2 linked regions of the Oreochromis niloticus genome follow. The protein of the gene in region 1 purifies or fractionates together with the protein of each later gene. This does not show direct contact. Links are inferred from orthologs where the notes say so. Each region holds a gene or a part of one and is shown in the gene's direction. Other genes may lie near its edges.

Region 1 (7,652 bases):
CCCTTACAAAATGGATGTGCTATGCATAGTTTTTTTTACTGAACAGTTTACTTTTTTTTTTAATTGGGATTATTTATTTGAGTGCTTTAGCCCTAGATTGTTTTATTTTCTACATATAATTGGAATGATTTCATCCCAAATCTGTAATTTTGACACCCAAACGTGTGTGTTTATCTTAGGGGGCAAGTAGAGTAGGCATGTGTGGCATGTATTTCAGTGCTGTTTGCAAGAGTTGGATGACATGTGCTACCAATCATTCACTTGAGCAACATCAGTTGAATGAGGATGAGCAGGATGAGTTGCAGCTGCCCCCTGACTTTTGAAGGCAAGGCGGTAAAATTAACTTGTAGATTGCATTAAGATGCTTTTTAGTTTGGATGAATTTTGTATGCTAGCCACTGAGAGAACCTGAGTGTAAGTTTAAAGTCAGTAAATCTGCTACCAGTATATATGAGAAGAGTGGAGACAAGAACAAGGGATTGGTTGGGTTTAATGTTAACCATCTTTGTGTCTCTGCAGCAATTTCTGATGAGCAACAAGCTGGAAACTGCAATGTGGCTGTCACGACTCTTCACTGTCTATTGCTCTGTAATGTTCATTCTACCAGTTTTGGGGTGAGTTCACTGTGGAAAATCATCTAATTATAAATGTTGATTAGCTTTAAAAGTAGTTATAAACCAATCTAAATCAGCATTTGAGTGTTTGTCACTGCTTGTATATTTCAGACCTTATGCAGCAGCTAACTTCTATCAGAGAGCGTTGTTAGCGAATGCCCTCACCAGTGCTCTTCGCTTACACCAGAGGCTTCCACGCTTTCAGCTGAGCAGAGCTTTCTTGGCCCAGGCTCTGCAGGAGGACAGCTGTCATTACCTGCTCTACTCACTCATCCTGGTCAACTCCTACCCCATTACAAGTATCCTTTCATTGTGAGCAAGTCTGCAAGTTTAAATGGAGATGATAGCATTGCTACATACATTGTGTGTTTTGTTTTTTTAGTTTTAAACAATAATGAAACACTATTTCACTGTTATAGTTGGACAGTGATTCACTATTTACTTGTTGCTGCAGTTTTTTTCCAAAGACAGTCTGATAGGATTCCTTAAAGGGTTCGTTTTGAGACATTCAATAGGATTCAGACCTGCAGTATTACAAATCAATTAGTCTTAGCAGTGAAAGATTTAGTTTTTCCATAGGTGCAATCATGCTCCCTTACTATTGTATTATTTAGGAGGAAGTTGTTCTTTTCTGTTATTTAACCTTAACCTTCTTGTCCAGTGAGCATCTTTCCAGTTTTTCTTTTTTCCTTGCTTCACGCAACTACCTACACAAAGAAAGTTCTTGATGTAAGTATGAGTCACCACAGTGACTTATTGAAAATTACTGTGAAATCAGTTTAAACATTATTTAGCCACAAGCTGGGATATTAGTACCAGCCAGACCACCATGTCTGAGGCAGCAGAGAAGGTTTGTGGTTGGATTCACACAATGGCAACAGAGCAGCGCTTTACATGGCTGCTCTGCTCCTGTTGGTGTGTGTGTGCGTGTTTGAGATAGATTAGGTAAATTAGAAACACATCGTAAAGAACTTTATAGTTAACTGTTACAGTTAAATGGAACTATGAAAGTATAATGTACCATTTAGACACAACTTAAAATCTGGAAGCTAATGATTTCTAATGTGTTTTCCTTTACCTTTTACTTCTTGCTCCCACTGCTCCTTTCAAAATGTTAATTTGCCAAATCTTTCATTTCACTTTGTGACTATTTTTTGTTTCTTTTAGACCATGGGCCCAAACAGCATGATGTTTATCCGGGGCCTCCTGGACAAACTGACATCTAATCAGCAGAATATCCTGAAGTTTATTGCCTGTAATGAGATCTTCTTGATGCCAGCAACTATTTTTATGCTGTTCAGGTATGCGTACAACTGTTTCTTTTGTGAAGGATTTCTTTTGTGAAGACCCATTGTAGCATCCCTAATCTAGTGATATGTTAATATTGATTACTGGCAGTGATTGTTTTGTTGTTGTTGTTGTGTTAATCTCATAAATATGTATCAGTTTTATCTCAACAAATGCAAGCCCTTCTTTGTAATCTTAATACAGAGTGTCCAGTTTTCACATGTTCATGTCAATAATATTTTGTCAACAGCGGCCAGGGGAGCCTATTGCTGCCTTTCATTTATTACCGATTCCTCACTCTGCGCTACACATCCAGAAGAAATCCATATTGCCGGTAAGATTTTGAATTATCTGTTATTGTCACATAGCAACATGGTGTTGCGCTGTTGCTTCACAGCAAGAGGCTCTGGGGTTCAACCCAGGACATGGCCCTTCTGTTTAGAGTTTTCATGCCCTGCTATTCAGAAGGTACAAAGATTAGATTAGATTTACTTTCAATACAATCCGAGTGAAGTACTTTTCTTTCTGTCTCAGCACCTTGTTCACCGAGCTGCGAATTCTTTTGGAGCATTTCATCATGAAGCCTGCCTGCCCTGCCTTCTTCAGGAGGATGTGCCTCAGCAGTATCGCCTTTATCAGCCGCCTCGCCCCCACGGGGGTTTGATTACACTAAATTTGTTTTCCTCATGTGTTGTTTTTCAGTAAGATGTACGATGTGACTTAACTTCGATGGGGAAAGACTTTGCCATCAATGGAAGGAACCGTTTTTTTGAATGTCAACTTTACAGTCTGTGCTCCAATTTTTGTGTATCTGAGTGCAGCTGAAGACCAGCCAGTAATGCACTGAAGGCTCATGCTGATATTTGATTTTCCATCCTTTTAATGTGACCTCATTGAAGCGGTGGACATCCTGTTGTTCTGTTACCTTCGATGGGCTGAGCACATTAGCTTGACATCAGCTGTGTTCCGTTTATCGGCTGTTATCATTCTTTCCTTTCATGTCTTATTTATTCATTAAAATCACTTATTATATAATGAAACATTAACATTCTGAGATTAGTAAATTAATGAACATGTGTTTATAAACAATGGATTCTGATCATTTCTTTAAATAATCATATTGTACTTTTTCAGGTTCTAACTATGTCTGATTTGTAAAGCATCCAATGCTCTTATTTGTCTAAAGCCTAATTATTAAATGTATTCTATCAATGCCATTGGCTCACATTTCAGCAACATGCAAAATCTTATGTAGCTATGATGTCAAATGGATGTTAAACTGAGAAAATAATCTGCTGTATTTTATAGGATATTTTAAGGTACCAGATGTTCTGCTGTATGATTCACAAATGGAATAACTTGCAGAAAGCATGCCATGCTTATGAATGCACTCTGACCTCATTTCTCAGTTTAAAAGCTGTTTTGATTTTGAGTCATTCATTTCTTATTAGGCTATAGGTTTCTTGCTTAATGCATGCTCTGGTATGTTTTTCTTTCCCTGCCATGTTAATTGTGTTTACTTGCCTACAGACAAACCACATTTTTATAATGACAATAAAGTTATCTCCTAAACAAACACAGTGTTGAAGAATGCTAATTGGGTTTGGTACCAATAAGTTCTTGCATTATAATAGTTGACTTCGATATGAACAAATCCTAATAAGGATTTATTTATGCCTGTTTTTAATATTTATTCAAAGCATAGATCTAATATAAAAGTATTTATCACAGATAATTACAGTGTTAATGTATATTGTTTCTTACTAGAGAAATGTGAGTTAGTGAATAATTGTTCATACCCTATGAGTACATTGTTTTTAAGTGGTTTCCAATTAAACCTAAAAACAATTTTACACATACATATCAAATAAATCTTATAGACACACAGCATGCCATTTATCTGGGATATATTTGCCAAAAAAATAAATAATGTGTGATATTTATGTATCATTTTAAATAAGAGTTCTTTGATTTTATGATGCAACAGGTATTTATGTGGGAGAGTAAAAAGAGCTTATTCTGTCCATTTAAGTTCAGACACGTATTCTTCCCTGATTACTTTTGACAACACCAGTTAGTCATCTGAAAACACAAGAAAGAAGACAATTTTCAAGACAACTCTGACAAGATACCATCACTAAAACCAAATTTGAGTTTCTCTACAGTATGTGCCAGCATTTGTGTAGCTAAAGGACTGTGTTTATTAATGGTGTGTATAAAGAAATATGACTATGACTTTTAAGCACCTTCAACATTGGCATAATAAATGTGTCACGAAAATTAAATGGTGTTTTATGTTTAAAAATGAGAGGTGCCAAGAGGGTCTGGATAAGTAGTCAATTTTGTATTTCCCAAAAATAGAGAAAGAGTAAAAGTTGGTACAGATCCTTTAGTAAAAACTAATCAGTTGTTTCCAAAGCTTTGAAAATTCAAAAGGCTAATGGGATTTTTCACATTACTGGCAAAATGGCACGCTTTGGCCACTTTTAAAAAGATTATGGTCATTATTTGCTGCTTTTATGTTTCATTTCTCTTTTTGTCTTTCATGTATTATTGTATTTTCTGCCAGCTGTAGAAGTGACATGACGCACAGGGTGGAAAACGTGAATGAGTTAGCCAATCAGAACACAGCTTCAATGTCTGTTACTCCCTTTCAACCAGTGGAATTGCAGTTTTGTTACAGCCTGCAACGTTGCCATTAGCAACGGCAACTGCCCTCTTCAAGTCTGAAAATGCTGCACAGATCGTTTATACCTGATATCAGCGTTTAATGAAAATTTATCCGCGCTCACATCTACACACATCGACTTCCTTCGTGTCTTTTTTAAAGATGATTTTCGGTCTTTGAGGAAGACTGCGTGCCAGTACCAGTTAGCTCCGATAGCTAAAGCTAGCACGTTGAGCTAATCCACTTGCTTTAGATAATCCCAGTCTCAGCTAGCATCGTTATCGTCTTGGAATTGGGTTGAACGTTTTTCTGACAAAATGTTAATGGTAACGGACGGCTATGGGGCAAGAGTAATGTCTGAATAACCTTCTTGGACTATTTGCAGATTTTTGTTTCTACTTAAGTTGAAACACAGTAGAGAAAGAAGATGGATCTTCGCCTCAATAGAGTTGATTACATTCAGGTAAAACAAAGCAGACCACGTCGGGTTTCTGCTGTCTTTTTTTCTTTTTCTTTTATTAATATTAGGAGTAAAAGTTCCCCTCCATTCTACCTCTCAGGTTGGCGTGACATCTCAGAAAACTATGAGGCTTCTTCCTCCACTGGGAAAAAAGGCAACCCAAAAGGTATCGTTTATGAGCCATACAGTAACCTAAATTAATTAAAATGTGTTTTCTTGTTTTCTGACTAAATCCAGATTGTTTTCCTGCTTTTGCTGAAGACTGCAGATGTTTAAAAAATGTAACCTTGTTTGGGTTTTAGTTTATTTAACTGTAATACTAATTTTGTTTATTAGATGGTAAGAAATCAAAACCAATGACATTGATTTTTGATAAATAATTGCTTTACCAGAGCCCTTCAATAAGTAAGACTTGTCACGCTGTGTAGTAATTTGGGCAGTTGTTTTGAAGTTTCAGTTTAATTGAAAGAGGCAGTTTTCAATGGGACATGTAAACTGCTTGTATAGTCAGTCAAATTTCATAAAAAACACTATAAAAATTAATAGACTTTGCCTCAAAACAATATTTAAACACCATTTTTCCAGCAGGCTTTAATTAAACATGTTTTCTATTAGTTCATTGTAGAAAACTTTAAAAAGTGCATTTTGGGTAAACCTCAAAGGTCATATCACCATTTGGGATCAGTGCTTGGTCAAAACAAATTATAGTATATGTAAGGTCTCTTTTGACACTGGGCTTATCTTCTAGATGTGATTCCTTGCCTTTTCTACAATCATTAATTAAACTAAAAAATGAAATTGGTAAATCTTAGAGTGCTCGATTGGTGTCTCCTCATGTTTCAGGTTGCTATTGCTGATCACGATGGAATACTCACATGTTTTGGTATCAAGAAGGGGGAAGCAGTGGTGAGTAAATATTTTCCTGTCATCACAGAGATTTGAAACAAACAGCTTGTAAGACTTTTGACTCTTTGTTTCAGCCCGTCTTTAAAACACTTCCTGGGCAGAAGATAGCCCGAATGGACCTTGGAGGTGCTGCGGGAACTCCCCAGGAAAAGATCTTTGTCTGCTCTGGTTCTCAGGTCCGAGGATTCACCAAGAAAGGCAAACAGTTCCTCACTTTTGAAGCCAACCTAACTGAGAGCATTAATGCAATGTAGGAACTATGTTTTTTCATTTTGATTTACATTACACGATTGAGCTGTGCAGAGCTGTGTCATCTTTACCCCACTGGGTCTTTTCCAGGCATGTGTCAGGCTCCGACCTTTTTGTGTGCGCAAGTTACATCTACAACCACTACTGTGACTGCAAAGATCAGGACTACTACCTCTCTGGAGACAAGATCAATGACATCACATGCTTGTCCACAGAAAACCTCACTCACCTCGTCCCAGTCCTGGCATGCCAAGATCGAGTGCTCAGAGTCTTGCAGGTAAACTGAGCTCTCATTTACTGTTCTGATTTTGAGTTGCTCTTTGTCAGATGAGACATGCCAATTGTTTTATGGTTTTGTATGTAGAGATCTGAACTTGCATATGACATAGAAGTTCCTGGCCCTCCTTCTGTGTTGGAACTGTATAAAGATAAAGGCAAGCTGATTTCTTTGTTTACTTTAACTATAAAGCATGAAGTTGCTTTATATGTACCAGTTTGAACTTAATTTCTTAGATTTCTCTTTAGGAGAGGAAATTCTCTATGGAACCACAGATGGAAAAATAGGATTGGTTGAGATTGGTGAACATTCAGCTGCGACCAAATGGGAAATTGACAATGACAAAAAGAAAGGAGGTATGTACAGAAATGCAATATTTTTACTGTCCAACAGAGGGTGATTGCTCTGAGTCAAAGCAGTCATAAAGCAGAGTCTACTGCAGCGGTCCCCAACCTTTTTTGCGCCACGGACTGGTTTATGCCTGACAATATTTTCACAGACCGGCCTTTAAGGTGTCGCGGATAAATACAACAAAATAAAACTAGTACCGGTACCGAAAAAAAGAAGATTTATTCATAACACAAGTGAAAAGACCCAGGAAAACCGAGTTAACGATAACAAAATAACACTGAAAACCGATAAAAACCCTGAAAACCATACATTTCACACCTGAGCCTCAACTCTCGCGGCCCGGTACCAAACGACTCACAGACCAGTACCGGTCCGAGGCCCGGGGGTTGGGGACCACTGGTCTGCTGCATGGGCGTGCAGTAACAATTTGTTTCTCAAACAGATCTATCTGATCTCATTTTATACACAGTCTATGTTTCCACAGTGTTTAAACTGATACTCATGCATACTAACTTATGCATTTTTTAACCTCTGGCAAAACGATCACGCTTTCTGTCTCCCAGGAATTCTTTGCATTGACACCTATGATATTATTGGTGACGGAGTGAGTGATATCCTGGTGGGGAGGGATGATGGGACGGTTGAGGTCTACGGCTTTGACAGCTCTAATGAACCGACATTACGCTTTGAGCATGTAAGTGATTAAAAATTCACTCTCCATAGAATTACAGTTGTATTTTTGTAACTGTTACAAACCTAAAGTTCTTTGAATAGTTGTTGCTTAATTTACATATATTAATGCATTTAAGTATTAAATGACAGACTCCCTTCTTAATCTTT
Region 2 (7,449 bases), on another chromosome or scaffold:
ATCTGGTTGTTTGTGTATTTCTCTTTAATCCACAAAAAAAAAACTTTCAGTATAATATAATATACTGTATATAATAATTATAGAGAAAATGTGCAATTACACCTTTTTTCCTCTTGCATGTTTCTGGTTTTGACAGTGGATGGATAACATCAATCACCATGATCAGCAAGAAAAACCTGGCTGTGGCTGTGGTTATGATGGTAGTGGCTGGATTTTTCACTGTAAACTCTGTGCTGGCTATCATCCTGCTGAAAATGGTACGCAAAAGTAAAACCTCTGTTTACATATATTACTTTTAGAGGTAATCTCATTACTTTATTATGAACCTGTCAGGTTTAATATAATGTATCTTGATGAACTGAATAACCCTAAGCAAAGTATTTTAAACATGTTTTAGTTGTTGAGTTTTCTCATTTATATCTGGAAGCTACGTCAAAGACAAACTAAAAATCGCGGGGTGACAAAATGGCTTCAGAGGAAATATTCAAACCAAGTGTGTGTGCTGAATGCACTTACTCTACAGACTTTCCTCCATGTAGAAGTTCCTGGAGTGTCTTTTGGTTTATAAAGACGATAATTCATTAGAAAGTGGACATAATATTTCATCTTAATGCAAAAAGTGGGGGACAAACAAATACAACTCTTAAAACAATAATCTGTTCCTTGGCTCATAACTCTCCACTAGACATGTATTGTATTTTCAGATATCCTCCTCACTAACAGATGAATGAAACTGAACTCATGATCTCCTTTGTAGACATAAGAACCATGGCCTGAACCTTACAAGAACCAGCAGGTTAAACACGGTTTCATCATTTGATCGCCTGTCATTGTTTACAATTTTCTGTCTTTTCCTATCATCCCAGGTCCATTCTAAATACAGAAACACAGGTGCCAGCTTCACCAAGGCCCAGCAGGAGTTTTCACAAGGTGTCCTGACCAACCGAACTGTCCAAAATGCTGCAACCACCGCTGCTACCTCCGCTGCCCAGGGAGCCTTTGGCAGGAGCCAGGAAAATTAGTGATTTCTACAAGTTTTGTGTCTCTGGCTATTCTCTTTTCTGACCAGCATACCGGGCTAGCCACGTCCCAACATTATCCAGTTGGTGTAAAGGAATTTTTAGGGAAAAGGGCAAAAAGCAAGTAACTTATGAGTATATACCAAGTGGGGTGTCTCCATTCTCCATGTCCACCAAAAAACTAAATAATAAAAAAAAATGGTGTAATTTAGGTAGATGCGTAGCTAAAGACATAAAATCATCTTATAGGAATAGGACCCTACTTTCAGTTAAACTTTATTTGTATAGCATCTTTGATGAAGGACAGTGCAATTCAAAGAGCTTCACAGATGAACTGATAATGGGACGGCACATTAATTTAAAAAAAAAAAAGGTAAAAAGATTATAAAATGCAAAAATAAAATGGATGGAACTTGTAAAGACCTGCACAGATCTCATCAGCATATGTCATATTCATTTATGCTTTAGGGAAATGTCCAGTAGGAAATCTGAAGCTGGGGTTTAGATAGAGGGCAAGGTGAGGACCCCACACAAATAAAATTACAACATTTCATCACTGCATAGCTATTGAAAGCATTTAACAGAGTAGACTAAAGAGATACATGTGAGATTATCTGCAATACAAGAAACACTGATTTAAATCCAGTAATCCTTAAAGATCCCAGTAAAAAGTATCAGGATTTTTCCCTGCTAATGTAGGAATGACATACTGAGGCTTGAAATATAAACTCTTTGTCCAAGTTTGGATTCTCACTTGACATGAGAATGTTTTTTTCCATCTGTGAGCGATGGATCCACTAAATGTTTTTCGCATTACAGCAGCATGCAAAACCTTGCAGGATAACTGTCCTGACTATAAGTGCATTAATACCAATAATACACTTTATGCACAGTTGCCTTCCTCTCAGATGTCCTGTAAAAGTATAAATGATAATAAATGCATACTGTTACATTACTGTGCAGTTTGAACTTTGCTCTCCAAATTTGATGTTTTGATGTGTATATGACAATAGGATGAGCTGCTGATTAATGAAGGTGATGGGATAAAGAGGTCATTTGTACTGTTTTAATCTGTTTACTGATTTTTTTTTTTTTTAATGAAGTGAGGCTTAAAGCTGTTCTTGAAGCAAATGAAGATGTTACATTTTAATTCATGTTAAGAAAACTTGGCATAATACAGAGACTTGCAGTGATTAAAATAAAAGGGGGGGTACGGGTTTATTCATGTAAAGTTATTGAAAGTATAGAATTTGAATGTATTTACATGAAAAGTGCATTAATGAGTAGAAAGAACAATATTTTTGACTTTGTGCCCATGTTAGTTTTACTACATGTTAACTTAATTTCCTGTTTTTTCTAGCTGCACCTACTTGGAATTAGGTTTTAGTGTTTTCATCCCTTTCTCTGTGTGTGTGTGACTGTGTGTGTGTGTGTGTGTGTGTGTGTAAAGTATATAAATACTGTATACTCCTGATCTGATGTTTGTACCTCAGTGCCTTTAAACAGTAACATACAAATCTTTGTGTGAGGATTCAAGTTCAAGGCTGTTAATTCTCTTTTTTTTATCTGTAGCCTGTGGAACAACTGGTGAAGTTTTCTTGTGATCAGAATGTGTTAAGATTATGTAAATATCGGTGACTTATTTAAACATATTTACTGCTGGGGTATGCATTGGAAATCTTAACATTCAATAAACTGTACTGTCTATAAAATTCTGAATTGAAGTCTTGGAAGTGGTCTTGTTAGAAGCGTATTATTATCTATCAAAAGTGGTCCAAGGAAGGAACAGTGGTGAACCAGCGACAGGGTTATGGGCTGTCCTGTGTGGTCCGATCCAACAGGCGAGCTACTATAGCTCAAATTGCCCAAAATATTTAAACGTGGTTCTCATAGAAAGGTGTGAGAATGTCAGTGTCCATGCTGACCCCCTTCCTCTGCTGAACTTCAGCCCAACTTACAGGATTTAAAGAGTCTGTTACTAACATCAACTGATCTTTTATTACAGCACATCTTCATGGGTCTAGTGGGATCCATGCCTCGACAGAAAAAGGGGTGACCAACATAATAATAGGTAGCTGGTCATAACAGCATGCCTAATCAGTGTACATTCTGCCTAATAGACAATGTCATTCTGGCTCATTCACACAAGTTTTAACACATCGCCACAATCTTCCCAGGAGTGGATGTCAGCAAATTTATTTTATTGCAGTGTTTACACACAAGAACTACATTTCAACGTTAAAGTTTATTACAGTACATTTATTAAACAAATATGACTTGCTTTAAGGGTTGCCAGGAGGAATTCTTGGTCTTGAAGAAGAACATGGCAGCACAGCTCTTAGGAGAGATCAGCACAAAACACCTTATACTAAGGAAGGGTGATGATTTGGCCTTGTTTTGCAGCTATGGGATCTGGGCACCTTGCAGTCACTAAGTTAGCCATGAACTCCTCTGTATACCAAAAGAGTCTATAAAAGTGATGATACACAACAGGACACAGATCCCAAGCACAGCATCAATTCTATGAAAAGAAAAGATTGCAATGGCCCGGTCAAAGTCCAGACCTCAACCTGACTGAAATGCTGTGCATAAACACATATCTGCAAACCTCAATGAGCTAAAGAAATGCTGTAAAGAAGAGTGGGCCAAAATTCCTCTGCAATGATTTGAAAGACTGATAAAGTCATACAGAAAATTATTAGTTTAAGTTCTTGCTGCTAAGGGTGATTTTACAAGCTACTGAATCATGTGGTGTACTTATTTATTAAGACTACATAGAATCCTATAGAGTGAAAAAGGTGAAAGATTGCAAATTCGAAACATGAAAAAGCCACAATTCTGGTGTTTGTGTGCCCTGTTTGCATTACTAGATGTATTTTGTTTATAAGCAAAGGAAAAATCTAAAACACACAGAAATATATGGTCGGATTCTGTATACTACACTGACCGTCTTTACTGAGAGACACACATAACCATGGACCTATGATCTCTTGTCACATCCACTGGCAGACCCAACATCTATATATGACCACGTGACTGTTAGAGTTTGCCGACAGTGACGCAGACTGAGAGTAAAGTCAGTCTTAATGGACATCTACCCTGTTAAAGGTGTTGGGAGAAAAATAAAATAAAATAAATAAATAACCTGAACTATAGCTGTGTTTTTGTTTGCGAATGAAACCGAAAATCAGCATTTCATTTTTTTTCTTGAATGATTAATTTTGTGTAGCTAAGCTAAAGTCAATAAGTAGAGGAAGGGGTTGGCTAATGCATTTAATGTGACGTGGCTTTATCAGTAAAAATGGTTCTTAAACCCTTTTTTTGTAAATAAAGTTTTTTTCTTTAATCGGTCCCAGAGCACAAATCCAACCAGCTACGTGTCTGCGCGCCATTGACGTATCCATGGCAACAGCTTCTAGTGTTGATCATCCCAAGATGGCGGACGCGGAAACAACCGCAACGGTGAGTGCGATGCGAGCTGCTCCTCCTTTTCTTGAATAAACACAAACTTGACTCGAAATACAATGAAAGTGTGACACTTCGCGAGAAAGCCCGACTCCAGGTTTTGCCACACGCTTTCTATAACGCTGACTTGAACGTTAGTTAGCTAGGTGGCTAGCCTATTCTAAGTCGGCGCTAAGTTGATTAAGCTGCAGCTAAAGGCAACTTGCGAGACTAATCTCACTCACTCAAGGGCAAATTTAAACCTTAACACTGACAGCTGTAGCTGTGGCAGGGTTGCTGTGGACTGTTTGGGAAGCTTTAGCCCACCCTTAATATACGATAACGTAGAAAACGTTATCAAGCAGCTTTTCATTAACCGGCTTACCACCAATCGCAGTTCTATTATCGCTGTGGCACAATAGCTTTCAGCGTGTAATGAAATGTAGAGAATATCAATAAACTGCTAAGCATCAGCAACCACATCCAAAACAATCCACAAGTGAGGTCAAATATGGGAAGAAAAATATGTGATGCGAGAAGAACTGCGCATGCGTGCATCTACCTGTACATTTCGAAGATAGCAAATGTTACTGTTGTTGCAGTCACTGAACAGAGCATACACAGGAGCACGTTACATTGCAAAAGTTTACCGCTACATCTCAAAAATTTGAATTAAATGTATTCATTTAATATATCTGTCCATTCATCCTTTCATTTAATGGTTATTCGGGATGTGGTGGCAGCAGTCTGGCAGAGACCCCCAAACAGCCCTCTCCCAAGTCACCTCCTCCAGCTGTTCTGGAGGAACACTGAAAAGAGAGAGCAGTCGAGAGACATAATCTCTCCAGTATGTTTTGGTTATGCCTAGAAATTCTGTCCATAGAAGTTATAAACTGAATTGGTGACAAATAGGCAGCTCTTTGTCACCAAGTCTATCCAACCCTACACATTATATATACATTTTTTTATGGTGTATGGAGGGAGGAAGATGACATGTGAGCTTGTGCAGAGCAGTTCAATTCATTCTTTATCTAGCAAAGGCATATACAATTAGAATCAGCTGTAGTCCTGGAGTAGGACATGCAGTACACCATAGACTGGCAGTAGATCTGCATGCTTCTACTCTTTGATTGGGAAATAGTTTTTTTTCCTCTCTCTGTTCATTAGGTCAACACACATGTCATTCAGCTTGTTGGCCCACATTTCCACACAGCCTTTTATCAGTTTTTGAGTGGACAGGATTTTCTGTATTTTGGTGAGGGCTGCCCAAGGATTATTTTACTGTGTACCACACAGTCATGTGAAAAGTCATGTGTTTTTGCAGGACTCTGTGCAGTGCTCTGAGAAACCAAGTACACCCCATGATTCAATAGCCTGTAGAGGTACCATGTAAAAGCAATAACTTGTAATAATTATTAGTAATACTTGTTTGCATGACTTTATCTTCACAAAGTTGCTTCACTTCATTAAGGTTTGTGAGCATTTGTTTATGCACAGTTCTCTTAAGGTCCTGGCAGAGCATTTCAGTCAGGTTTTGGTGTGGACTTTAACTGGACAATTGCAACACCTTGATTGTTTTCTTTTTCAGCCATTCTCTTGCACTTTAGTATGCAGGAGAGTTCGTGATCGACTCAATAACATGGTGCTCAGGCCCTGTGGCTACAAAACACACCCATGGTATTGGTATGAGGTGTTTGTGCTGATATGCTGTGTTGATCTTTACCATACACAGCGCTGTGCATCATGACCAAAGATCTGTACTTTGATCTCATCTGTCCAGTGGACATTTTTCAGAACTTTTGGAGTTTGGTTCAAACCTAAGCTGTGATGCCAGGCTTTCTCCTGGCAATCCTACCAGAAAAGCCATAATTGTTTTTTCTAATTGTGCTGTCATGAACTTTAAATTGTAACATGCAAACTGAGGCCTTTAGAGTCTGAGATGTAGTGCTTGGATTTTTTTTCTGCATTTTCTCTGAGCAGTAAGCATCTGACCTTGGGGTGATTTTGAAGGGACGCCCACTTCTGGGAAGGTTGTTGCATTGTGTTAAAACACACCTGTTTGCTCCAAACCAGCAAACTAAAAGAAAACATCATCTTTGATAGAGGTGCTCACACTTGCCGATGATCAGTTAATTAAGTGCATCTGATTGGCTGGCTGCTACTGACCTTCTTAATTCATATAGAAGAAGTAAGGATCGATGTAGCTTTTCACAGGTCTGCATAGAGTCCTGAGAGTCCTGAGGAAGCTTTTCTTTTTCACTTGACTTTCAGACTCCTGTTTGCTGTTATTTATTTTTCTGCTTGTGTTGTTTGTCACATATTTCAGCTCCCTGTTGCTACTGAACCCAAGAAACGTCGGGCGCCTAAAGGTACAGTGAAAGTACTGCAGGTCATGTTCTGAAATTAATTGAATTATTTTCATGTCGTTGTGTGACATTCATTTTTTTAAAATTCATTTCTAAAAGTTGGTTAAGTGTTGATAACTGAAACTAAAGGTTTTGGAAGTGAACGGCCTGCAGAGGTCACCCTCACCCTTCTGTTTGTTTCCGCTGTAAGGAACAGGCTGTGGCTACATTATGCTGCTGAGCCATTTTCCAGATATTTCTCTGTGTAGAAAATGTCTGGTGATCATTAGAGGATGTTTTGTCATCATTATTGAAGCCTAATGTGCCATTAAATAGTTTATACTTCTGCCCACAGATATTTTGTCTTTTTTTCTTTTATAGTGCTTTGTAATAATAATAATAATCAGAGCTACTGAGAATTGCATCTCTGTGGAAGCAGTTGAATACATGCTATGATGTGGTAATGATAATTTTTATTTAGCATGCAAACCCTTTCCTGGGTTGTACTTAATATGATTCGAAGACACACCCCTGTTCTAACTAAGTTAAAAAAAACAGAAAGTAAAGATTGGATTTTAGGAGACGAATACACATACACCAATGGGAGCAGACTTGAAAACAACCTGAACGCAGAGGAACTT

Evidence for each region. The genes of interacting proteins can lie anywhere in the genome.
Region 2: the proteins of bbs7 (region 1) and bbs4 purify together in Homo sapiens (co-immunoprecipitation; 7 studies listed by BioGRID and IntAct, counting the BioPlex papers as one, with this or other methods). This does not show direct contact. The link is inferred for Oreochromis niloticus from reciprocal best matches to the Homo sapiens genes BBS7 and BBS4.

Annotation. Positions count from the first base shown.
Region 1 is NC_031966.2:11,820,171-11,827,822, forward strand, and holds the start of bbs7 (BBSome complex member BBS7), read left to right. Parts: upstream 1-4,571; 5' UTR 4,572-4,996; coding exon 4,997-5,032; intron 5,033-5,129; coding exon 5,130-5,195; intron 5,196-5,872; coding exon 5,873-5,935; intron 5,936-6,009; coding exon 6,010-6,185; intron 6,186-6,274; coding exon 6,275-6,461; intron 6,462-6,548; coding exon 6,549-6,618; intron 6,619-6,697; coding exon 6,698-6,817; intron 6,818-7,375; coding exon 7,376-7,506; intron 7,507-7,652. Other genes in the region: tmem33 (transmembrane protein 33), read left to right, coding at 520-614, 726-913, 1,276-1,343, 1,782-1,915, 2,152-2,235, 2,436-2,565.
Region 2 is NC_031965.2:11,059,975-11,067,423, reverse strand, and holds the start of bbs4 (BBSome complex member BBS4), read left to right. Parts: upstream 1-4,366; 5' UTR 4,367-4,421; coding exon of another isoform or gene 4,422-4,481; intron 4,482-6,789; coding exon of another isoform or gene 6,790-6,832; intron 6,833-7,449. Other genes in the region: scamp2l (secretory carrier membrane protein 2, like), read left to right, coding at 137-257, 867-1,022.